Caenorhabditis elegans: one gene and its partners. The protein of the gene in region 4 interacts with the protein of the main gene of each other region in a pairwise test. Each region holds a gene or a part of one and is shown on either strand. Other genes may lie near its edges. The genes, in order: nhr-13, F54A3.6, W03C9.2 and mkk-4.

The links.
Region 1: the proteins of mkk-4 (region 4) and nhr-13 interact in a two-hybrid assay, tested with the Caenorhabditis elegans proteins (one large-scale study listed by BioGRID).
Region 2: the proteins of mkk-4 (region 4) and F54A3.6 interact in a two-hybrid assay, tested with the Caenorhabditis elegans proteins (one large-scale study listed by BioGRID).
Region 3: the proteins of mkk-4 (region 4) and W03C9.2 interact in a two-hybrid assay, tested with the Caenorhabditis elegans proteins (one large-scale study listed by BioGRID).

The regions. Positions count from the first base shown.
Region 1 is NC_003283.11:2,190,955-2,197,353, forward strand, and holds nhr-13 (Nuclear hormone receptor family member nhr-13), read left to right. Parts: upstream 1-1,530; 5' UTR 1,531-1,546; coding exon 1,547-1,630; intron 1,631-1,761; coding exon 1,762-1,915; intron 1,916-2,135; coding exon 2,136-2,290; intron 2,291-2,340; coding exon 2,341-2,502; intron 2,503-2,545; coding exon 2,546-2,677; intron 2,678-2,728; coding exon 2,729-2,793; intron 2,794-2,839; coding exon 2,840-3,084; intron 3,085-5,216; coding exon 5,217-5,365; intron 5,366-5,465; coding exon 5,466-5,560; intron 5,561-5,712; coding exon 5,713-5,749; coding exon of another isoform or gene 5,750-5,811; 3' UTR 5,812-5,873; downstream 5,874-6,399. Other genes in the region: srbc-42 (Serpentine Receptor, class BC (Class B-like)), read right to left, coding at 1-54, 156-268. UniProt on the Caenorhabditis elegans protein: Orphan nuclear receptor. Involved in regulating fatty acid desaturase genes, acting in concert with nuclear hormone receptor nhr-49.
Region 2 is NC_003280.10:2,226,449-2,234,408, forward strand, and holds the start of F54A3.6 (Trithorax group protein osa), read right to left. Parts: upstream 6,023-7,960; 5' UTR 5,884-6,022; coding exon 5,862-5,883; intron 5,810-5,861; coding exon 5,781-5,809; intron 5,732-5,780; coding exon 5,596-5,731; intron 5,529-5,595; coding exon 5,474-5,528; intron 5,431-5,473; coding exon 5,361-5,430; intron 5,314-5,360; coding exon 5,245-5,313; intron 5,090-5,244; coding exon 5,021-5,089; intron 4,420-5,020; coding exon 4,381-4,419; intron 4,317-4,380; coding exon 4,227-4,316; coding exon of another isoform or gene 4,212-4,226; exon of another isoform or gene 4,140-4,211; intron 4,095-4,139; coding exon 3,963-4,094; intron 2,993-3,962; coding exon 2,745-2,992; intron 2,729-2,744; exon of another isoform or gene 2,677-2,728; intron 1,675-2,676; exon of another isoform or gene 1,621-1,674; intron 824-1,620; coding exon 490-823; intron 83-489; exon of another isoform or gene 23-82; intron 1-22. Other genes in the region: cct-3 (T-complex protein 1 subunit gamma), read left to right, coding at 7,101-7,199, 7,254-7,363.
Region 3 is NC_003280.10:11,960,574-11,965,773, reverse strand, and holds W03C9.2 (uncharacterized protein), read right to left. Parts: upstream 3,407-5,200; 5' UTR 3,401-3,406; coding exon 3,320-3,400; intron 3,272-3,319; coding exon 3,104-3,271; intron 3,054-3,103; coding exon 2,870-3,053; intron 2,181-2,869; coding exon 1,904-2,180; intron 1,546-1,903; coding exon 1,357-1,545; intron 944-1,356; coding exon 874-943; intron 826-873; coding exon 679-825; 3' UTR 516-678; downstream 1-515. Other genes in the region: rab-7 (Ras-related protein Rab-7a), read left to right, coding at 33-119; W03C9.1 (uncharacterized protein), read left to right, coding at 3,713-3,883, 3,930-4,095, 4,144-4,301, 4,458-4,557, 4,601-4,761; W03C9.6 (MFS domain-containing protein), read right to left, coding at 5,192-5,200.
Region 4 is NC_003284.9:10,026,159-10,030,664, reverse strand, and holds mkk-4 (MAP kinase kinase mkk-4), read right to left. Parts: upstream 2,810-4,506; 5' UTR 2,805-2,809; coding exon 2,680-2,804; intron 2,627-2,679; coding exon 2,467-2,626; intron 2,423-2,466; coding exon 2,300-2,422; intron 2,187-2,299; coding exon 2,067-2,186; intron 2,021-2,066; coding exon 1,841-2,020; intron 1,589-1,840; coding exon 1,520-1,588; intron 1,476-1,519; coding exon 1,410-1,475; intron 1,360-1,409; coding exon 1,274-1,359; intron 1,220-1,273; coding exon 1,154-1,219; intron 1,105-1,153; coding exon 1,008-1,104; 3' UTR 535-1,007; downstream 1-534. UniProt on the Caenorhabditis elegans protein: Activity is required in presynaptic neurons, in a dose-dependent manner, for normal presynaptic development and morphology.

The DNA of each region.
Region 1 (6,399 bases), on a different chromosome or scaffold from region 4:
AGAACCACGTCCAAAAAAAATCGGAACCGGAACAGGGCCATATCGTTTTTTTTCCTGAAATATTGCGGAGTTATCTACGCCTATGATTTGTATTATACAGTGAAACTTTTCTAAATAAAAAAAACTTGGCGTTGACCAGCTGTTCAAAAAGGTACCTTTCAAAATTTTTCAGAATATAAATGTTCATAGCAAATGCGAACAACGACGAAAATACCCCAATTGCAGTGACTATTAAAGCTGAGACATTCATGATAGGCTGATTATCCATTTCTGGAAAATTAATATTTTAAAGCAAAAAAAAACTGTTTGATTGAAACCCATTTTATTTAAATGAGCAAAATTAAAAAAAAATTAAAAAATATATGAACACCAAGGAAGTATCACAAAGGTCTAAAATTCGAAGGCGATTCAATTATCACTGTCTACTGGAAAAACACTGAAAAACAACTAACTTGGCAACCTAATGCAATTTGAAAATGCGGAACTATATCTAGATTGAAAACACACATATAGTAAAAAGAAAATTATAAACTTGATCCCAGTGGAATGCAACTTTTAGTTTTGGATCACAATTTTAAAGAAAAACCGAAATTAATTAAAAACCCAGTGATTTATGTGTTTTAATAGAAAAAAAAACAACTCGAGTGGAATTCTGAGAGCAATTAAATGTATAGCTTATGTGTAAAAAATAAATCATTTATTAAAAACTTCAAACAATAAATTATTACGTACAATTGTTTTGTAATTATTTTTTTCATTTTCTGAAATACTAAAAATAAATTCGAAAAATTTGGACATTTTTCTGTGCGTTTTTCACAATTTTCGAGACCCGTAAAATTGGTTCAAATGTAGGTTTTTGCAGAATTTCTGTGACTATGCATTTTGTTGAAAGTGTGTATCTTTCTGAAAATTTTTGACTGGAAAAAAATCAAACATTTCCAGAAAAGTTGTCTGTGGTAGTTAATGTTAGAAATGACTTTTTTACATTATAAAACAAAATGTGAAAAAAAAACCCCGCTCACGTAAATATGCACGCCTTAAGTTGACCACATCACCCTGAGCGGACTTTTCAAATTAATGCTCCGTTTCTTTTTTAACTTCTGTTGTTTTACTACCATCTTTTAACACCTTTTTCAAAACTTAATTTTATTTGTTCCTGTTGATTTTGGCTTTCCCGAAAAGAATTCATGTTTGAATTTCGCGGGCATGTTGAAAATCTCACGCCTTATGAGGAGCCCGTGTCAGATAAATTTTTCAACTCTTCAATTCTCCACAATTAATCGAATTCTCATCATTTTTCATTATCGGAGTAAATGATTTGCCGCTGCCGCTGTCGATCATTTACCACGAGAGACTACATTGTTGTCGATGTGTCTGCGTCTCTTATGTACCTAGTTGTCTCTCACCGCCCTCGTTCTCGTCGATACCCACCAATTTGTTTCAATGAGGTTCAATATGTTTGCATTTATTTGCGTTTTTTTGGCTATAGACTTCTTTTTTTTCAATTTGCAATAAAAAATATAAAAATGTTCCATGTTTCAGAAAAATGCCCACAAACCCGAATTCTTGTGAGGTGTGCTCATCGTCCTCGAATAGTTCCTGCAATCATTTTGGAGCCAGAACTTGCAAGGTGAGTATTTTAAATTGAATTTTATAATTATTTACGGAAGGTTCTCAAACTAAAAATTTTGTTTTGCAACTTTTCCACACCTATTTCAATAAATATCACTTTTTGAAAAAATTGAACCTAAAATTTTTCAGGCTTGTGCTGCCTTCTTCCGTCGCACCGTATCTATGAAGCTCGACTATCAGTGTATTGACCAACCGGATGCCTGTCGTGTTCATTGTGATTCTCGCGTGATTTGCCGATTTTGCCGGCTCAAAAAGTGCCATGATATTGGTATGAAGCCATTGTGTGAGTTTGTACGAAAACATTTTGAAAAATGAATCTTAAAATCGACAAGAAAATATACTAAAAATATATGGGATATCAAGACTAAAGTTTAAAAAATTTTCAATGAAAAATTTTAATTGAATTTTTAAATTTTTTTTGTTGTGAAAAATTTAAAAAAAAATTTGAAGCTTTAAAAAATTTATCCACACTTAATATTTTCAAAAATGTAATAATTTTTCAGTGGTGAAATCAAAAAACGAGCGGAAAAACTACATCCGGATTTCCAAAGGATTAATTCGCAAAAGATCAGTACTCGGCGACAATGTCAAAGAAAATTCCGAAGAAATTCAAAATGATGATGATCCTCAAGAATCGGATGCTGAAATGGAAAATGAGGTTTTCAAAATCCAATTTCTTAAAAAAAAAAACTAAATGAATTTTTTCAGTCCACACCAGGACCATCATCAGAACCATCAGAAAATGTATCGGCTGAAAATCAAGAAACAGTGACAAAATTCTTGAAACTGGAAGCATCCATGTGTGATCGAAGACGGCTACTGTACGCTGAGACGCCTATCAGTATTGTGCTGGAGAGTGGCAAGGAATGGGTGAGAATTTTGGGTAATGGGCTCAACTAAACATCAAATTTAGCCATACGAAAATGCTCCGCTGAAAATGTTCGATTACAAGTTGAGCCAAGGAATGTCGAAGCACGATTTTGTGATGATCATGGACTACGCGCGTGGTATGCCCGGATTCGACGAGATGAACTATGCAGATAGTGTAAGTTGGCAAACTTTTTTTCTTCTGAAAAATGCAACTTCAATTTTCCAGGTCTTCTGCTACCGTCTCGTGTGCGCTGTAGATTTTGTCATCAATTCAGCATACTATACTTATAAGTTAGTACAGATTTGAAAAATCAACCTGAAAATTGAATTCTTGCAGACGAGGAATCGAGCACAACGAGCTCGTCCTGAGCGATGGTACCTTTATCCCAATGGTGCCCACACCATTGACAGGCTACGAGGAGAATGCAAATCTGCTGTTTCAAAGTCAGGACGATCTTATGAAGTTTCGAACTCTGATGCCTCTCATCCTTCATCAGTGGGAAACCTGCGTGCCGTTTGCTCAACTTGCTCCGTCCCATGAGGAATTTTGTCTGCTGAAAGCGATTTGTGTTTGGCATGTTTGTAAGTGGGGTAGTTTCATTTTGAAATTTTGCTGTAAATTATAGAAAATGGACCGTAATGACTGAATACAAATTTAAAAAATTTTTTTTGAAAATGTTGAAAATTTTTCATTTGTTTTTTTTTTCAATTTTGAAAACTTATGAATTGGGCCAGAAGACGCAAAAATGTCGAAAATGACGTCATTCATTTGCGCGGGAATTCAAATTTGATTAGGTCGTTTTTGTCAGTTTTGCAAATTGCAAATTTAAAAAAATCATAAAAATATAGAAAAGCATTTTTTAAATTTTACCTACGGTCTTGCATGTGCGGCAAATGTAAAACAAAACTGTAAATGTCATTGTGATAATACAACTTTTTGAAATGAAAACTAATATACAGTGCGCGCGCTTGCTATAGGACCCCCCTAAATTTTGGCAGTATTGAAAAACTCCAAATTTTTCGTGGAAAACTATTATGATATTTGGAATCAGGGTGTCGAAAAACCTATAATCCCATGTTTTCATGAATTTATCATAAAAATTGAAAGCACCCGACCAATATTTCAAAAATAAGACCGCGCGTTTGCTATAGGACCCCCTGAGGTTTTTGAAAATTTTCACCGAAATTCTCGATTTTTTGAGCTTCTATGGAAAAACCAAATTCAAAACTGTGTTTAATTACACTTTCAATGAGAAATTGTTCCGATTTATAACTTTTCAGAAAAATTCAAATTTCGATTTTCACTAATTTTTCGCATTTTCAGACGTTTAAGCTCGAGAAGAAGCTCACGTACCACTTTTGTGCTTCAACTTTTATCACCTGATTTGAGTAGTAGTTTCGCAGAGTTTCGTAAATTTTGAGCTGATTAGGACAACTTAAACTCATTTTACAGCACGATTTACGCAAAGCTTTTGCCCTGTTTTCAATGCGCAAGCTTATTATGGGCTCATATCTGAGCTGCCAACTGATAAATCTTTTCTACAGTTATCAGAGTATTTACCTTACACGTTTTGCTAACTGTTTCAGGCATGCAGTCACTGAGAAAAAATTCGCTCAACCATCTGAAGGCGACGAATCGCGAGTTCTCAATTTGCAGTACATTCTCAAGCCTTTTTGTGCTGAGTGAGTTTTCGATCACAGTAGATGGTTGAGCGAATTTTTTCTCAGTGACTGCATGCCTGAAACAGTTAGCAAAACGTGTAAGGTAAATACTCTGATAACTGTAGAAAAGATTTATCAGTTGGCAGCTCAGATATGAGCCCATAATAAGCTTGCGCATTGAAAACAGGGCAAAAGCTTTGCGTAAATCGTGCTGTAAAATGAGTTTAAGTTGTCCTAATCAGCTCAAAATTTACGAAACTCTGCGAAACTACTATTCAAATCAGGTGATAAAAGTTGAAGCACAAAAGTGGTACGTGAGCTTCTTCTCGAGCTTAAACGTCTGAAAATGCGAAAAATTAGTGAAAATCGAAATTTGAATTTTTCTGAAAAGTTATAAATCGGAACAATTTCTCATTGAAAGTGTAATTAAACACAGTTTTGAATTTGGTTTTTCCATAGAAGCTCAAAAAATCGAGAATTTCGGTGAAAATTTTCAAAAACCTCAGGGGGTCCTATAGCAAACGCGCGGTCTTATTTTTGAAATATTGGTCGGGTGCTTTCAATTTTTATGATAAATTCATAAAAACATGGGATTATAGGTTTTCCGACACCCTGATTCCAAATATCATAATAGTTTTCCACGAAAAATTTGGAGTTTTTCAATACTGCCAAAATTTAGGGGGGTCATATAGCAAGCGCGCGCACTGTAGAAATGTAGGAAAAAGTTCACTTAAGCTGAAAGTTTTACTTTTTTCGCTGAAAAATGCAATAAAGATCCCAAACAGCCCCCGAAAATCGCCGTTGGTCGTACAAATTTCTACGACAATTTTACGGCAAACGGCAGCTTTCAGGCTCCTTTTGAATTCTATATGGAACAGATCAAGAAAGATCAATACTATTTTTTAGAGTGAACAGACATTATTCTACGTTTCTATATTTAAAAGAAATTGATTATTATCCTAAATTTAACTGTTTTGTAAAAGCTCAGTAAGAAGTTTTTATGTTTTGTTAAAAGCGTAATCTAAACAGTTTCAACACTATTTAAATTCCAGCCTACTATCGCCTCAGCGAGGATGGTCGCCGTATCGCGATTGCTCAACGCAACCGTCTGATCCGGGCTCTTCATCATGTGTGCCACCTTGACAGTGATGATGTTGGAGAACGATTTGGCAACGTTATGATGGCTCTGAACTATATTATGGTATGGTTTCAATTTAAATTGCATTGCTTTGCTAGAAAAACTAACACTTTGCTTAATTTCCCAAAACCAATGTAGATATATCTGTAGAGATTCATTACAGGTGAACATTCGCCACGTGGTCAGCTCATTTGTAATGATCTCCTTTTTCGGCATTATCAACGTAGACAAGTCGATGATATCGTTGACAAGCTTTTGGTACTATTTTAGTTTATCGAAAAATTGCGTTAAAACAAGCAAACAAACAGTTAATTCGCAGGAACATGGTGCATCGTTACCAGTCCCCCGTGGTTGCGATTTCACCGTGATTAAGCACATATTTCATTCCTAAAGTTACAAATTTCTTTCAGGAACAAATCCGACACGTCAACTGCTCCTTCGTTATGATCTCAATTTTCGGAATCCTCAAAGTGGATAGTCTTATGCTTGATGTGACAAGTTTTTGGTGAAATATTCAAAATACAAAATCCTACGACTAGCTTTATTATTCGAATAAACCAATTTATTAAATGTTATTTCACAATTTTTTCGATTTCTCAAAATAACATGTGTACCAAACTGCGGCTTCAAAATTAGCTCGGGATTGGCATTTCTTCGGGAAACTTTGTCATAGAGGTGACGGTGAAGTTGCGGAAAATCAACGAGAGTGAGACTTTCTCTTCGAGTAACTCGAATTTCTGTGCAATGCAATTTCGGGGTCCCGCTGAGAATGGGACGAATGCGAATGGTTCTCGTTCGGCGACTCTCTCTGGGAGAAATGCTCCGGGAAGAACTCGTAGGGTCTCTCGAAATATCTGGCGGCCTCGCTTTGCCAAATTTGCAAGATTCAGGGAAAAAAAGAGAAGGAATGAGTTCAATTCTCCCAAAATTCCAAAATTTTTGTGCCACCCTTTTTTCGCAAGGGTAGTACCTGTTGAAATTGGAATTCAAGACAAAAACCCCTGTAGCGCGGCTGGGATGGAATATCTAGATCCAGAAATGTATCCCTAATATTAAAAAAAATCAGCAATTTTTTACCATATCAATTCTCCCAAAAT
Region 2 (7,960 bases), on a different chromosome or scaffold from region 4:
CAGTGTTTCGGGGGTACTGTAGGTCGGTGTTTGCGTACTTTTGGCGCTACAGTAACCCGGGAAATTTCAAAATTGAGCTAGAGAGCTCTGGTTTTCGGGTTTCAAGCGGCGGAAATTTCGCGAGGAATTCGAATTTGAGATGGAAATTTCAAAATTTTGAGCATTTTGTAGGATTTCTCGAATTTTTTGCCAATTTTCGATATTTCAAAATAATGTTCGCTGATTTTCATTATCAAAATTATCAAAACACTTTTTGGCTCAAAATTGGACGAATTTTTAAGTTTCGAAGCCAAAATTTTCAATTTTCAGAGCAATTTAAAGCCAAAAAGCTCAAAATTTCAGAATTTTCAGGCAATTTTTGAGTTGAAAGCTTCCAAAAAGCTTGAATTTCACGGATTTTTAGCTGAAATTACTGAAATTTTTGCAATTTTCAAGCCAAACAGAGAACTTTTTGAGCTTAAAAGCTCTAAATTTCCAGCTTTTCCGTACCATTCGACCCAAAACTGGTCCATTTCGAACAAAATGCTCTGATGCTCGCGGAGCAGCAGCCGCCAATGGTGGGCTCGGTGGTGATACAGGAGGATAGACGACTCTGTCCAGTTGAACAATTCCCGGTGGTGGTAGATCAACTTTTGGCGGCGGCGGATACGACGGGTTACTGTAGTTACTACTGTAGGTGGTGGATGACGTGGTGGATGGTTGTGCTCCAAGTGGGACACCAAATGGGCTCACAGCAGGGGGTACTGTAGATGAAGAAGAAGCTGGTGCTGGAGGTGGTGCTTGGAAGAAATAACCGGCTGATGGTGGTGGTGGATTGGGTTTTCTGGAAAAAAATTGTGAATTTTCGGAGAAAATAGGCGAAATTTGTATTTTTTGACGGGGAAAAGCTGAAAAAAATTTAGTTTTTAGTGAAAAATTCCGCTTTTTTGGTGAAAATCGAGGAAAATTCGGGGTTTTTAGGCGATTTTTCAACGAATTTAGTGTGATTTTTTTGCCAGAAAATTGATAGTTTCCGATGAAAATAGAGGGAAAATCGGAATTTTTTGGGTAATTTTTAATGGAGTAATTAAAAATTGAAGTTTTTCAGCGAAAATATGCAATTTTTCCGCATTTTTTAGTGAAAAAATTCAAAAATTTCAAAAAATTGCCAGTTTTACAGTTAAAAATCTGATATCTGATATTTCATGTAGCAAATTGAATTTTCAGGCTATTTTCGGCCATTTTCAGTGAAATTTTGAAAGTTTTACAAATTTTCCAGTGATTTTTTCGGTTTTTTGACCATTTTCTACCGTTTTTGCCGAATTTTTTGACATTTTCAATCATTTTTCATCGCTTTTTTCAGTTTTTCCGGCAATTTTCAGTGAATTTTTGACATTTTCTTCCGATTTTTTGGCTTTTTTAGTCAACTTTCTACCATTTTTTCCGAATTTTCGGCCATTTTTAGTCAAATTTCTACCGTTTTTGCCGGATTTTTTACCATTTTCAGTTAATTGAGAGGTTTTAGAGGGAAAAAAATAGGATTTTTAGTGAAAAATATGAGATTTTAAGTTGAAAAAGTGGAAAAATATAGTTTTTTTTGAATTTTTTCTCAAAAAAATTGAGGATTTCCGGTGAAAATAATGGAAAATTCGGGATTTTCAGCGATTTTTGGTGGAAAAACTTGGAAAAAATAGAGTTTTTCGTATTTTTGAGACGGAAAATTTGGAAATTTCGAGGATTTTTCCGTGATTTCCAACGGAAACAGCTGGAAAAATCGATTTTTTTTTGGATTTTCAGCAAGTTTCACGAGGAAATTCGGGGTTTTTTGGAGATTTTTTATGCGAAAAGCTGAAAAAATCAAGTTTTTCGGATTTTTCTACCATTTTTTGATGGAAAAATTCAATTTTCAGCACATTTTTCCGCGAAATTATCGGAAATTTGCGCGTTTTATAGTGTTTTTTTCCAGGAAAAATTTGGAATTTCCTGTTGAAAAGTAAAATTTTGGCATTTTTATGCCAATTTTCAGCTATTTTTCGGTCATTTTTCGTCGATTTTTGAAGGTTTTCGTCGATTTTTGAGCCATTTCCGGCGATTTCGACGATGAGAAAAGCTGGAAAAATCGATTTTTATTGGAAAAAATGCGGCTATTTTCAGCAATTTTTAGTGAAAAAATCCGCATTTCTGGTGAAAAAAATTGAAAAAATGGGCTATTTAACGAAAAAGTAGGGAATTTTTCGATTTTTCCCTGAAAAAACGGGAGAATTTCGTGGAAAATTCGGGATTTTTTAGCGATTTTTGGTGTAAAAAGCTGAAATTTTGGGGATTTTCCGAATTTTCAGTCACTCTGGCGAGAAATTGAAAGTTTTTCATAAAAATTTTCGGGAAATTGGGGCGAAAAATTGGCAATTTTGTCGATTTTTCGTTCATTTTCAGAAAAAAATCCGCATTTTGGGTGACAATTGCCGATTTTCTGATGGAAAAAAGCTGAAAAAAAAAGGGATTTTTCCGAATTTTTATTCAAAAAATTGACAGTTTCCAGTGAAAATCGTCGAAAAATCGGAAATTTTAGCCAAAAATTGAATTTTCAGTCAATTTTCGTCGATTTTTCCAATTTTTCGGTCATTTTCCGGCCAATTTTTCGAAATTTTGACATTTTTCAGCTCATTTTTCAGCATTTTCGTCGATTTTTAAGCCATTTCCAGTCGATTTTCGTCGATTTTTCCAATTTTCGGTCATTTTCCATCGATTTCCATCCAAAAACTCACCCATAAACCTGTTCTTTCAATGAATCCACTTGTTTTTTGTACATTTCATACCATGAAGCTGGTTTTCTTCTGATAATCGGTTGTCCTGGTGGTTTACCGGGAATTAATGCTTTTTTAATATTATTTTGATAAGAAGATGTGCCAGTTGATGAGCCAGTTGATGATTGAGCTGATGGTGATGAGGATGAAGCTGCTCCCGCTGGTGGCTCGCCGAGCAACGTTTTACGAGTATTTGGTGGGGGAATTGGCTGAAAATTTGGGATTTTTAGAGGATTTTAGGTGATTTTTCGCTAAAAAATTACGGATTTTGAGCGGTTTTTCAGCTAAATTTCAGAAAAATCGGAATTTTTTGTATTTTTCGACGACTTTTTTGTGTTTTTTAGCAATTTTCCGCCGATTTTTTCAATTATCGTGTAAAAAATTGGCTGAAAATTCACGATTTTTGGGGATTTTTTCAGTTTTCAGTGGAGTTTCAGCAATTTTCGATAAATTTGCGTTAATAAAATTACCTAAAAATTTGAGAAATTTACAGCATTTTCCGCCGCTAAATTTCAGTTTTCAGTATTTTTAGTGGTTTTTAGGGGGGTTTTTCGCTGAAATTCACTGAAAAATCACAAAATTTGAGGATTTTTGCCATTTTTTCGCTGAAAATTGGCCAATTCTGAAGGATTTTCAGCTAAATTTCAGATAAAAATTCAAATTTTTGGAGATTTTTCGATTTTTTTTCGCTAAAATTCGCTGAAAACCCACGAAATTTGAGGGTTTTTAGCTGAATTTCAGTGATTTTTCGATAAATTTCTTGTTTTTTAAACATTTTTTGGCTAAAAACTGACTGAATTTCAGACAAAAATTCAAATTTCTCGGATTTTCGCCATTTTTTCGCTGAAAATTGGCCAATTCTAATATTTTGGAGAAATTTCAGTTAAAAATCGGAATTTTGGCAATTTTTAGACAATTTCCAGTCGATTTTGCTGGAAATTCTCGAAAAAATTGACAATTTTCTATTGGATTTTAGGAAAAATGGGCTGAAAATTCGAGAATTTTGAGGATTTTTCGCTAAAATTCAGGAAAAAAATCGAAATTTTGCGGATTTTAGTGATTTTCCTCGATTTTTGATCGTTTTTGAGCACTTTTTCCACAAATTCGATGGTTTTAAGCCGTTTTTCGTGCTTTTTGAGGGATTTTCAGCGATTTTCCACGAATTTCGAGCGATTTTACCTCCTCAACGTCTTCATATTCATCTTCTCCCTCAATTTCTTCGGGTTTTACGTCAATTTTCGGCCGTTTTTCCTTAATTTCGTGCTCTTTTTGCTCTAATTCCTTCATCATTTCCATATGTTTCCGGGCTTTCTGAAAATTAGCGAATTTTCGGGGTTTTGGGCGATTTTCAGTAACTTTTCCGAATTTCGGACGATTTTAGGCTTTTTTTTGGATTTTTAGTCTTTTTTTCCGAATTTTTGGCCAATTTTAGCCATTTTTCACCTCTTCCAGGTCATTTTTCTTCAATTTCGACCAATTTCCGGGTTTTTCGGCACTTTGAATCGATCTTCCCGGGATATATGCAGGAGAACGCTGAAAATATGAATTTTTAGGGGAAAATTAGGGTTTTTCGGGCAATTTTTCGCCTAAAACTCACCTCTCGCGCCGGAAATCTCTGAGGTGGTGGTGGTGAATGCTGGAAAAAAAAATGGGATTTTTTGGGGTAAAATTGCATTTTTTCAGTGAATATTTGCATTTTTAGCGTTGAAAATCCGGTTTTCCTGCTAAAAATGCGAAATTTCAGACTTTTTCGGTGAAAAAGCGGGTTTTCTGGCTTTTTTTACGAGAAAAATCGATTTTTTCAGCCATTTTTCTTCAGAAATTCGCTTAAAATGCTAAATTCTGACTGAAAAACGCGAAATTTCAGGCTTTTCCGGTGAAAAATCGCATTTTCAGCGTTAAAATTTGGGTTTCTGTCTATTTTTACAAGAAAAATTAAAGTTTTTCACGAAAAAATCGATTTTTTTCAGTCAGAAATTCGCTGAAAATGCTGAAAATTTAACTGAAAAACGCGAAATTTCAGACTTTTTCGGTGAAAATCCGGTTTTTCAGCGTTAAAATCCATTTTTCCTGCTGTTTTCTCTCCCGGAGCTCATTTTTTGCCGGGAAAATCGATTTTCGAACCATTTTTCCTTAGAAATCAGCTAAAAATGCGAAATTTTGGCTAAAAAAGTTCATTTTCTTGCGAAAAAATCGATTTTTCAGCGATTTTTCTCCAAAAATTCGCTGAAACTCACTTCACGAGGCGGATTTCTGTCTGAAAATCGATCTTCACGCGGTCCTGAGTGATATCGTGGTGGCGAGCGCTGAAAAAATATTTTTTCAATAAAATATTCAAGAATTAGGGCAAAAATCGCCCAAAAAAACCAGAAAATATCGAGAAAATGGCGGTTTTTCGTGCAAAAACTGCACAAATCCGGTCATTTTTGGCTCATTTTTTCTGTTTTATTCAAAAATTCACCGATCTTCGGACTAAAGCGTCTGGATATCTGCGTAACTCGCGTCCCGGGTTATATTTTGGAGGCGATGGCTGAAAAAATCGGGGTTTTTCAGTGATTTTCCGCGCGAAAACCCTACCGCTCGGCAGTCTGGATCGCGGATTTTGAGTGTATAACCGTCTCGATCCACTAAATTTCCGTTGTTAAGGCTGAAAAATCATTTTTAGCTCGGGGTTTCGGCCAAAAACTCACCGTTTTGCGCCATATCTCACCAAAAACGCGTCGTCGACCGGCATTGGAGCTCGATCTGGAATTTTTTCTGGTTTTTTCCGTTTTTTTTCCTGGTTTTTCCAGAATTTTCAAGCTTAAAATACCTCTTCCAAGCTGAAATTGTGGTGGAATCGGTCGCCAGGCTTCTTCTCGTCGTGGAAATTGGGGATTTTCCCGCCAAGATTCGCTTCGCCGTTCCTCTCGCCAACGCTCGTCCCTTTTCTCCGTGTCGTAGAATCTCTGGAACAAAAAAATGATTATTTTCATTGAATTTCCCGTGAAAACTAACCCTTTCTGGCGGCGGATAGCCATTATATCCTGAAAAATGTGAAATTTCGGGGTTTTAATCGGAAAAAATCGATAATCTCACCATTTCCACCGTGGTTTTGCATGGTTTTTTGAGATCTTAATGTGATTTTTAACACGAATTTCGATAAATTATGCAAAAATCGACAAAAATCAATAGAAATTGCCAATTTTTTCGAGTTTTCGCCGCGAAAGTCAACAGAAAATACCCTTTCGACAGCGCGTAAATATCTCGAAATTAAATCGCACAGCTGAAACGAGTGTTACCGTATTCCGCGGGGTTTTCGGGACCTGTTTTCAGCAATTTCTAGACTTTTAATAAATCTGATTTTTTACAAGCTAACTAATATAATTGTCGTGATAATGATTTTGCAGGAAAACTCCAGAAAAATGCGGCAGAAATGTGTAAAATAAAATTTAACACTGCGGGTCTCGCCACGAAAACATTCAAAAGCACTGGAAGCCTCTTTTTGAAACGGCGCCATTCGGTTTTCGAGAAGAATTGAAAAATTTCTGGCGGATTTTTGTGAATTTCTTCGATTTTTCGTGTTTTTATGGGATTTTAGACGTTTTTTCGGCTTTAAATGACCCAAAAACCCTTAAAATTCGGTGTATTTACCCCTGAAATCGAGAAAAATTCCTAGAAAATTTGAATTTAACGCTAAATTCTTGTTTAAGCGGTTCCTCGCTGAAAATTGGCCAATTTTGATGGTTTTTCAGCTAAATTTCGGATAAAAATCGAAATTTTTTGGATTTTTAACGACTTTTTTGTGTTTTTTAGCAATTTTCCGCCGATTTTTAGGTAATTTTTCGCTGAAATTCACTGAAAACCCACGGAATTTGAGGGTTTTTAGCTGAATTTCAGTGATTTTTCGATAAATTTCTCGGTTTTTTTCGCTTGAAATTTGCCAATTTTGATGGTTTTTCAGCTAAATTTCAGATTTTTAACGGTTTTTTTGTGTTTTTTCAAATTTTTTTGGCTAAAAACTGACTGAATTTCAGACAAAAATCCAAATTTTGTGGATTTTTATACAAATTTCTCGGTTTTTTGAATATTTTTATCTGAAAATTAGCCAATTTTTGGGGCTTTTTCAGCTAAATTTCTGTCAAAAATCGGAAATTTTAGCGACTTTTTGGCAATTTTATGGCGTTTTCTAGCGATTTTTTGATGGAAAAAGCTGAATTTTTGCAATTTTTGCTAGAAAATTTCCAAAAAAATGGCGAAAAAACTCCCGTTTCTTCCATTTTTGCATTTTCCTCCAGGTGTTCCTTGAAAATTCCCCCAAATTTCCAGCTAAAAATGATGCGCGGAGCCGGACAGCAGCCTATCATTGTGCTCAGCCAGGGTACAAAGCGTGAGAGTGGCCATCAGGTCCAAATCGGAAATATCAACGCTTGCAAGGTGAGATTTTGGGCTGAAAGTCGATGAAAATCGCAAATTTTTAATTATTTTCAGACGATCGCCGACGTGATTCGCACAAGTTTGGGCCCTCGGGCCATGCTAAAGATGTTGATGGATCCAATGGGAGGAATTGTCATGACAAATGACGGAAACGCCATTTTGAGGTGCTTAGAGGCCTGAAAGTGCAGATTTTGACCGAAAAAAACCGTTTTTCGGCAGATTTTTGAAGAAAAATGGCTGGAAAATCGAATTTTCCCTGAAAAAAATTGCGAAAATAGCTAGAAAACCGGATTTTAACGCTGAAAATCCGATTTTTCACCGAAAAATGCTGAAAATTCACGATTCTCGGCCAAATTTTGGTCTTTTTAGCTGATTTTTGAAGAAAAATGGCTAAAAAATCGGCTTTTCCCCTGTAAAAAATAGCGAAAATAGCTTTAAAAAATCGGATTTTAACGCTGAAAATGCAATTTCACGCCGAAATTGTTAAAAATTTCATGTTTTTCTTTCAAATTTTTAGCATTTTCAGCAGATTTTATAATAAAAATGGCTATTTTCCGCAAAATCTTGGTTTTTTGGCAGAAATCGCACTTAGGTGCCCGAATTTTCTTGATTTTAGGCAAATTTTTATGATTTTTAGGCGAATTTTTTATGATTTTCGGCCAAATTTCGACGGTTTTCAGCCGAATTTTCACGATTTTCAACCGAATTTCAATTTTTAGCAGAGAAATCACAAAAAAAAGTTTTAAAAATCTAATTTTCTG
Region 3 (5,200 bases), on a different chromosome or scaffold from region 4:
AAAAAGCAAACTAAAAATTTTAAATTTTTCAGGAAACCAACGATTTCCCAGAGTTTCCCGACCAAATCCGTCTCAACCCAAATCAACAGAACCAGCAGAATTCGGGATGCAATTGTTAACCGTGTGCTGCTCCGCGCAGAGCCCTCTATCTCTATCTGCACAAAATGTATTTTTGACACATTCGATTCAATTCAATTCAATCCACACAACACACATTTCCTCTTCCCTCGTCTCCACTTTCTAAAAATCCCAAAAAATTTGAAAAGAAAATCCCACAGATTACGGTAGTCACCCTTTGCCGGTCCCCAATCACCATCTACTTTTTTTCTGGGAAATTCTTCCGTTATACACACCATTCGATGCCTTCTAGTTTTTCATTTTCACTCAAACTCACTTTTTTTCTTCATTTTTTCTCGTTCCCCCCCCCCCCCCCTGATATATTTGCCATTCATTTGTAAATTTTTACACCGAAATTCTAATTTTTTTTTCGAAATTCAGTTCCCTTCCCAGAAATTATTGCATGTTCTTTTTATATAAATTTAACATCCACACAAGAATGAGCATATATTGTCCGAATTTTAGGCTTTCTAGGATATGTTTTAGGTAAAATTTACAAGTTTTGTGAGTGAGTAGGGTCAATATTTACAGTTTTTTCTTCAATTTTCAACAAGCTGGCTCTCAATTGGCGTCTGGAAGTGGCTGAAACTGGTTGCGGAGGATGTAGTCGCTGAGGCGTTCCTCGCGGAGCAAATCGCGATCCAAATGTGGACGATACGTGTGTGGATACAGTTGAAGACGAATCTCGTACAGGAAATTGTCCAGAGCCTGAAAACCCGAGATTTTTTTGGAAATTGTGGGGATTTTCCTGAAAACCTTGTAGCAGAACGCGGCTTCTCCCTTGCACTTGCCGCAACGCTGGTCGAAGCAAAGAATACACTCGAATCTGGAAAAATTAAACAAATTGCATATTTTTGGTGGAAATTAAATAGAAAATCCATTAAAAGAACAATTTTCGCTGAAATTTTATGGAAAATTGTCTCGAATTTTATTTTTTTTAATTTAAAAAAAATTTTAAAATTTTTCTACGGGAATTTCAATATTTAAAAGTATACATAATTTTTTTTTCTCAGAGAATTTTATAAAAATTCCAAAAAAAAATTAAATTTGCACCGAAATCTTGTAAATGTTTTTTTTAAAAATTCACATAACCGAAAATACGAAACTTTTTTCACGATTTTCTTAAAAATAGGCGAAAACTGAATTTTTGATTGAAAAAATTCCGAAATTTCCTCAAAAAATCCGATTTTAACTCGTTTTTGACGAATTTTCAGTGATTTTTCTCATTTTCTCCCTTACGATTCTTCATTATGATCGCATTCCTGACGTTTTCTCTTCTTATTCCCGATTTTCTCTTCCGAAGATCCCTTTGAAGATGAGCTATTTGCTCCGAGAGCTCCCGGAATCAACAAATTTCGCATTGCCATTGGCCAAAGTGAGCTCTCCTGTTCGAGTGGCTTGATGTGGCGGAAGCTTTTTGAAATATTTCTGAAAATTCGTTAATTTGAAAATTTTGTTTGAAAATGTTCTGATTTTTCAGGTTTTGAGTGAATTTTTCGATTTTTTTAAGCGAAAAATTCGAAATTTCTTCTATTTTTCATGAAAAATCCCTCAAAAACATACATTTTTAACAATAAAAAAACTAAAATTTCGGATTTTTTGAGGGAAAAATTCGAAATCTGTTCGATTTTTCCATTAAGCGTACGAATATTCATAAAAATTATGGAAAATTAGTTTTTTTTTCAAATTTTCCATGAAAATCCCATCAAAAATTGATTTTTTCGATTTTTCAATCAATAAATTCGAATTTTCTTCACATTTCACCATCAATTTCTGATATACTAACGCGACAAAAGCCTGCGCAAAAACGGATCCAATAGTGCCGGCGAGTTCCTGTGACGAATCGGACATTTTCGCCTGTGGGCTCATCAGACAAATGCACAAAATTCGGCCCAAAATCCGATGGTCCAGGCTGACGCAGAGGCCTTTGTCGAGAAGTCGAATCAAATGATTTCCGTCCAAATGACCGATATTTGTAGACATTAGGAAACGCTCACAGTTGGTGAGAAGTGGTTCACTGTGGAAATGTGAAAGCATATCCAGGACGGGGACGATGCTTGACACTGAAAATTTGCGATTTTTTAAGTGAAAATTTTATTTTTTTGCTACAAAATACCTGAAAATAGCCCAAAATTTGATAAAACCACAAAAAAAACCACGCGAATTTTGAATTCCCTCAAAAATGAGTGCTGCAACCAATCAGCGATGAGCTCCGCCCACAGCTAATCGCTGATTGGTTGCAGATCTCATTTTGGTGGCAATTCAAAAATTCATCCAATTTTGAGCCTTTTTAGCTGAAGTAGCGTGTATTTTAATTGAAAAAAATAAATTTTAGGCCATTTTTCCATAATTTTAATATTTTTGCGTAAGAAACTGATTTTTAAACCTAGTTTTAAAAAAAAATTATTTTCTTGCTATTTTTCAATGAAATGTGCAGAAAAATCTCTATTAACTATAAAAAGAATCAATTATGAGCTATTTTTAGTTGAAAATCAAACAAATTTGTCTTTTTTTTTTAGCTAAAATCTGTTGAAAAATAGCGTCAAAATCCATTTCTCACATACATAGTTTCTCAAAAAAAAATCAACTCAAAAGTGCAATCTGAGCCTTTTTTTAATTGTAAATGCCAAAAAATTGAAATTTTCTCCGATATATTGCAAAATTCGATCAAAATCCAATATTTCCTGCTGAAATTCCAGTGATTTTCCAACATTTTTCCAATTTTCGCTCCAAAAAATCCTAAAAATATTACAAGTGAGAGGTGTTGGGCGAATCCCGTAAAGCGATGGGCACACCGAGTCCAGAAACGCGTGGAAATTTCTGGAAATGATCGGCGATTGGAAGCGGTGACTGCAATCCTCGTGCGGTGCCGCAACACTTTCCGGAGCCGAAATCCACGTGGATTTGCAGTTTGTCGAGAATTCCACGTAGCTGAGCTGTAAAAAATTCACTTTAATTCTGAAAAATCACTTTAAAAAACACTTACGCCATCGAATTTCTCAAAATAAGCGCAACTCGGGACGAGCTCCTTCAAATCGACGAAAAAATTCACTGAAACTTCAGATTTTTCCGGATTTTCTTGATTTTCCAGACATTTTGTGATGAGTGTGATGCGAAATTGTCGATTTTGCGACTGCTCGTGATAGTTGACAGCCTGAAAATAGGAAAATTTTGGGTTTTCAGTTTTCTTGTCGATTTTTACTTTTTGCAACGGAATTTTCGCTTCATCCAGCGTATTCATGAGCTCAGAGGTAACACAGAGTGAGCACGTGTTCCATGTCATCTGAAAAGTGCAAAAAACTTGAAAAATTTAGTGAAAAAGAAAGGAAAATGGATAAAAAATAAAAATTTGCGCCCAACGATGCTCCGAAATAACAGCGGAGCATCGTAGCGTGTGTTGTTTAGCGTAAATAATAAATCATTTGAAAATTCAAAATTCATTAAAAAAAAGAAAGAAGAAAATCGTGAAAACCACAGAAAAAAACAAGGAAAAAGATTTTAATATTATCAACAAAAAAAAAACAAAGTGTTAAAAAAATTTATTTCTAATTCCAAACATCTCTCGAACCTTCGATTCAATTCTTCTACAACAAAAATGCAGCAAGATCAGTTTTTTCTAATCGTAACTTTCCCATTTCTCGTTACAAGTTTCGCACTCGTCTCGTGCCTGAAAACGGCTTGGAAGTTTAAGGGATCTGCTGACCCCTCAGAAGCTTACACAAAAACTTTGCCAGTCGCTGTGAAACCGAAAAAAGACGAGAAGAAGGTAAGTGCGCTCTAGTGCTAATGGGTGGCAAATTCAAATTTCTCAGATAAAACCAGGAAAAACTGTGAAAAAAGTCGATGGAAAGGACAAAAAGGCGAAGAAACTTTCGAAATTTTTCGTTTTCAATCACGGAAAAGACGAGGATTTGAAAACCGCGGTCGGTAGCGAACCCACGTTGGATTCCACACAAGAATCGATCACTGAGGACGACGGCAAGTGCGCCCCATTGAGAACCATCCCGCGAAATTCAAATTTTCCAGAACACGAGTCACCTCTCAGTGATAACTACAAGTTCAGTGATGACGAGAAGCTCGACGGACTGCAAATTCTGCCGTCTCCGCCGCCGAAATACGTGGAAAAACTGAGATCTCGTGTGCGACAAACTCGGCGTGGCAAGAAGAGCCCACAGGACTACTATGTACGTGTAAAATCGTGTAAAATTAACTTTAAGTATAAGTATATTGAGTTTGAATTGAGTTTGAAAAAAAAAATGTGGGTCCCACCACGAAAAGCTACAGTAACCTGAGCTGAATTCAAATTTCTTGATCAAAATCCGAAATATTTTAAATTTCAGTGCACCGACGAAGAAGATTCGCTATTCGATGTCCCATCCCTGAAGATTGACCCGGCAACCCTAAAATCTTCCCGATCAAGCATTCCGCTGAATATTCAAGGTACATACAGTAATCCATATACATCCACATCTCTATATATCAGACTCCCGTTTGCTCCGCCTCAACCAAGATCGCCTCGCCTTCAAAAAAAGCCACACAGTGTACCCTCATTCTGCAATCTCGCCGCACTCGAATCGCATGCATCGTTCCGAATCGCGTTCTTCCCGAGAGTCGGAACCAACTACTATCTCACAGAGATCTTGAGAAATCAATAAAGTTGTCTTGATTTCAACGAAAAAGTGTTAAAAGTGTAAAAAGCCTCAGCTAATGAAATCACCTCACCAACAGTCAGTGATATGCTCAATTGATCATCAACGGCAAAGCGGCGGGGGGGGGGGGGTCGAACCCGCGGCGTGTTTCACGGCCGCGCAGCCGCTACCCGCCTGCGCCACAACGGTGTCACCGAAATTGAACGACAAGGCATTGACAAGAGAGCGGCACGAGGAGGAGTGTGCCGAGCAGAAATATCCAAAAATACAAATAATTAAATTTTATTCATCGCATTAAAAACAAATTAAGAGCACAGAAAAATACAGAAATAGACCCGAATATCTCATCAAATTGAAATACAAAAAAAACGTGATAAAATTCAAAAAACGTTCGCAACAAATTTTCGAAAAAAAATCTTCCACTTTTACGAATA
Region 4 (4,506 bases):
ATGCCTCGAAAAGCAAATAGCAAGAATGAAACATGAAGTTTATTTGTAAAACCTTGACCAAAAGTAAAACTGTTGAATGAATCATAAAATGTTTCTACGTGTGACATCACAATAACGTGTGTGGTTGTGTATTAGGAAAGCTATTTTAAAAATTTAATAATATTGAAGAAAGAAAGTTTAAGAGTTTGGGGCACATTGAATGTTTTTCATATTATTTTTCACTTTTTTTTTTGATTTCACGCATTTTATTCTATGTTTATATTTGAAATAATAAAAATATGTTTCAAAAACCAGGTTCAAATTTTCAAAAGAGTGTTTTTTTTTCAAAAGACTCGTTTTTTTCGAAATTGAACATTGTTTTAACATTGGAGTTTATATTGTATAAATGTTTTATATTACAATTTTAATAAGAAAACTATTAAAAAAAAAAGAATAACTATACGATCTTAATTCTTCATCAACATCTCATCATCGAATCGGAATGGTAAAAACACAATTTAAGGGCTTAACGAATAAAAATTAAACACATTTCTTAGTGTAAAACAGTTTATTAAAAGAATTAGAGTTTGTTGCAAAATGATTGTTACTGATTAGAAGAACCATGGTGTGTGTTGAGATCAAAAGATGGGAAGCTAGCACAATCGGAGGGAAGAGAGAGAGAAAGAGTGAGAAAGAGAGATGATGAGAAATAAACACGACAATACCAAAGCGTCGAAATATTTTAACAATGTAGAGCTCTGAATGGGATGGGTGAGATGGACGATTGGAATTATCCAAAAAAAATTAGTTGGATTCACTATCACGGAACAAATTATTATTGTGCGTCGGGAGAATAGGAAAATGACAAAAATTGAGTAAGCTGCGAAGAATATTTTGAAAAACAATAATATGAAAAACGAATCGAAGAATTTTCAAAGAAATCAAAGAAGTAGTTTGAAAATTTTGAAAACCTGGCAAAAAATACAAAGATCTACAAAAACATGATAAAATTGGAAATCAGTAAATATCTATCCTCTGTGGTCGACAGGATGATTTCTTGTGTCAATTGCTTCAACTCCAAGAATTCGCTTAGCCTCTTCAATTTCGGGTCCGGCAACTGCGTATCTGAAATTTAATACGTGATATCTGTTAAATGAGAAAATAAAAAACTCACATTCTATAAAAGTCAAAACTCTTCAGAGTATCATATTTGGGCCGATGGCGTCTGTCTTTAGTTAAGCTGAAGAATTTCAATACAAACTTTGCCAATTATATGTTACAAAAACAAACTCACCAAGTATTGATAAACTTGACAAGCGGCAAACTGTAATGGAAATCGTCGCTGTCTGGATGTAGAATTGGAGGATCACCGCTTACTACCTAAAACATGTTTTTCTACAAATAGCGCAATGATATAGATAATAACTCACTGTAGCAATCTGATCAAAAAGTGAATTCCATTCTTGGTAGGGAAATTTTCCTGTTGCTATTTCGTACTAAAAATTTTGTTTGTGGATTTTTGAAAACAGAAAAAAATTACCAAAGTTATTCCCAATGACCACACATCCGATCTCACATCATATTTGTCTGAACTTGTAATCCTTTCGGGCTGAATAAAAACAAACTCAACATATGTTCGAAACTTGTCTATCATATTTTGCTAATTGTCCACCAATTTACAATTCTACCTTCTATCATTTTTTTTAATTTCAAAAAAATAAATATTTTCGAAACCCGAATTTCCTAATTGTAGTAACAATGTAGAAGAAGAATGCAGAACAGCTAAAGGTTTGGTTTAGACTTTTTTGAACAAATGTTAAAAAAATTATTAGATCTTTATGGAACACACTCAAACACTTACTGCAAGATACGGCTGACAACCGGCGTCATGAGTTTTCGCAAATGATTCTTCTAACTGCCCACAAATACCAAAATCGCAAAGTTTCACTGCTCCAGTTCCGTCTACAAGAATATTGGAGGGTTTCACGTCTCGATGAATAATTTTTAATTCTTTCTTCAAATAATCCAATGCATCTACAGTCTGTAAAAATATAAATACTCCAAATTATTATATAATGTTAACTCACGCAAACTGTGATATGTCCGACGACATTTTCATTCAGCCGACTATTTTTCACCATATATACTCGTTTATAAAGAAGGTCCATCGAAATGTCCATCAGTTCCATGCAAATCCAGCAATCACCCTGTAAAGTTTGAATTAAAAAAAACTGAAAACAAAAATATAGATATACGTTTTACTATTCACCATGACGCAAACAAAATTTTTGCTTTAATTGAAATCTGTTCTTATACCCACCTCGCTGAAAATCGCTCCGTAAAACTTCACGATATTTGGTCCTTTCTCGGATTTCACAATTGTGTCGTGCTCTCGAAGTAAGCGGATTTGTTCTCTATGTCCAATGTTGTTGCATCGTATCCTCTGAAAAAAACATTGTTTTTCACAAAACAAATTATTGGTCAAACCTTCACAGCTATCAGTTTTCCAGTTTCTTTGTGACGCATTTTGTAAACTGTTCCAAAATTGCCGTTTCCAATTGCTCCAAGATCTTGTAAATTAGCGGAGCTGAATGTGTATAAATGTTCGTCATCAGGGTATTTTAATGTGCCTGTCGAAAGAGAACGTCTGAAAACGAGAGGATTACTAATGACTAATTGAAAAAAGGAAAAAACACTCACAACACACTTTCTTCTGGAAGCGTCTTCTCATTTCCGTTTACCGAAAGTGATGTGGGACGTGTTGACAACGAAGTCGGCCGAAGGGACATTGAATTGCGTAAATTCTCGTCATCTTCTTGAACCATTAACTCTGAAAATGTAAAAATAAAAAACAGGAAATAAATAAAATTATAGAAAGATTAAAATCAAAATTTGATCAGAGCAAATAGGAAAATGCGTGAAATCTGAAAATTGAATAATGGAGTCAAGCATTTTCAATGTACTAAAAAAAGTAATGTTGTCATATTGAAGTATTGCGTGAATTAAGACCTAGAAATTTGAAAATGTTGAATTGAAATTTCAGCCCACCTAAATTGTTGACAGGTTTTTTTTGCCAACTATTCCTTTGTGATATTTTCAAAGTAAAAACAAAATGAATGTTGTATCTTTTGTGTTTAACGTGTGTTACAATGAGAAATGTATGTTTGAGAAAGGAAACAAATGAAAGTTCACAATCACCACAGTACAAAAAACGAAACAATTACATTACTTTTTCACTTTGACAAAATAAGCCAGAATAAAGCTGAATTAGCGTGGGAATCAGTCAATAATTGAAATGACTCTGAGCAAATATAATACAACCATACACAATGACGTATAGCAAGTTTGATGAGAAAAAGGTTGGAAGCCCTTGAAAACACAATTGAAACCTTGGAAAAACTGTAAGGAAACATTTTTGAAATTGAAGAAGAAAAAACTTGAAGAAAAAATCGTGAGGTCGGTCAGCAATAGTTTTAAGATTTTTGTAAAAGATGACCACGTCTTTGTCAAACTGAACACTTGAGTAACCTTCAGGACCAGTTTTAGAAAAAAACGGTAGGTCGTTGTCTTCGGAATTGTTTCGGATTTCAATGGCCTTGTTTATTTCACGATTAATAATGCGGGAAATTATATATACTTTTAAGTGAGTTTTTGTAAAGTAATTTTTACAATGTTTATAATTCCAAGATTCTGAATAATCATTTTTAGTATTTTGTGTTTGAAATAAAGTGACACCAAAAAATATTAATAATTTTCTACAAGACTGATGCTAACATTATGACACTAGCTGCAAAATGATGAAATGTGAAAAGGAAGTTTTAAGCTTTGCTCTTTTTGTGTGCTAAGTTTAGGAATAATCTACGTCACGAGGATGAAATAGTAATTGACGTAGCTAGTAGCAGCTCATGTAGTGTAAACATTTCTGTTTTATGAGTTGACTGTCAAAGTTGGAGATGAATCATGCAAGATAGATAAAGAGAGAAAGGGAACACAAAAAAATCAAAATCACTGACAGAGAAGAAGAGACAAAAAACGTTTGAAAAATGAGTAGTCAATAAAAATGGAAGCCGGCGAGAAAACCAAGGGATGAGTGAAACGGAGAAAGGAAAACATTTGAGGGAACTCGGAGGAACAAGAAACCGAGGAAGCCTACCGAGACGAGAATCAATAGAGAGATGACATAAAACATAGAGAGTGGTCGAGAAATAGAATCGCGGGAGTAAGAGAAAGAGGAGAAGAGGGCACGCATGAATGGAAGAAACAGGGAGGCAAACGACCGATAGTTAGTGGAACTGGACACTACTACTTGCGTACGTCTTCAGTATATTCTCGCACTTCTTATATGACCACCACGCTAGATTGATTTAATCGCTGTGTCCCGCTGCAGTTTGTTTTCTTCGACACCTTATATTGGTTACTCGAGCATGCACTTCGGTTGCTAGGCGCGAATTATTGAAACATATTGTTTATGTACTTGAGTATTGCGGCTTGATTGAGTTCGTTTTTATTTACTATGACAGGTGGAGT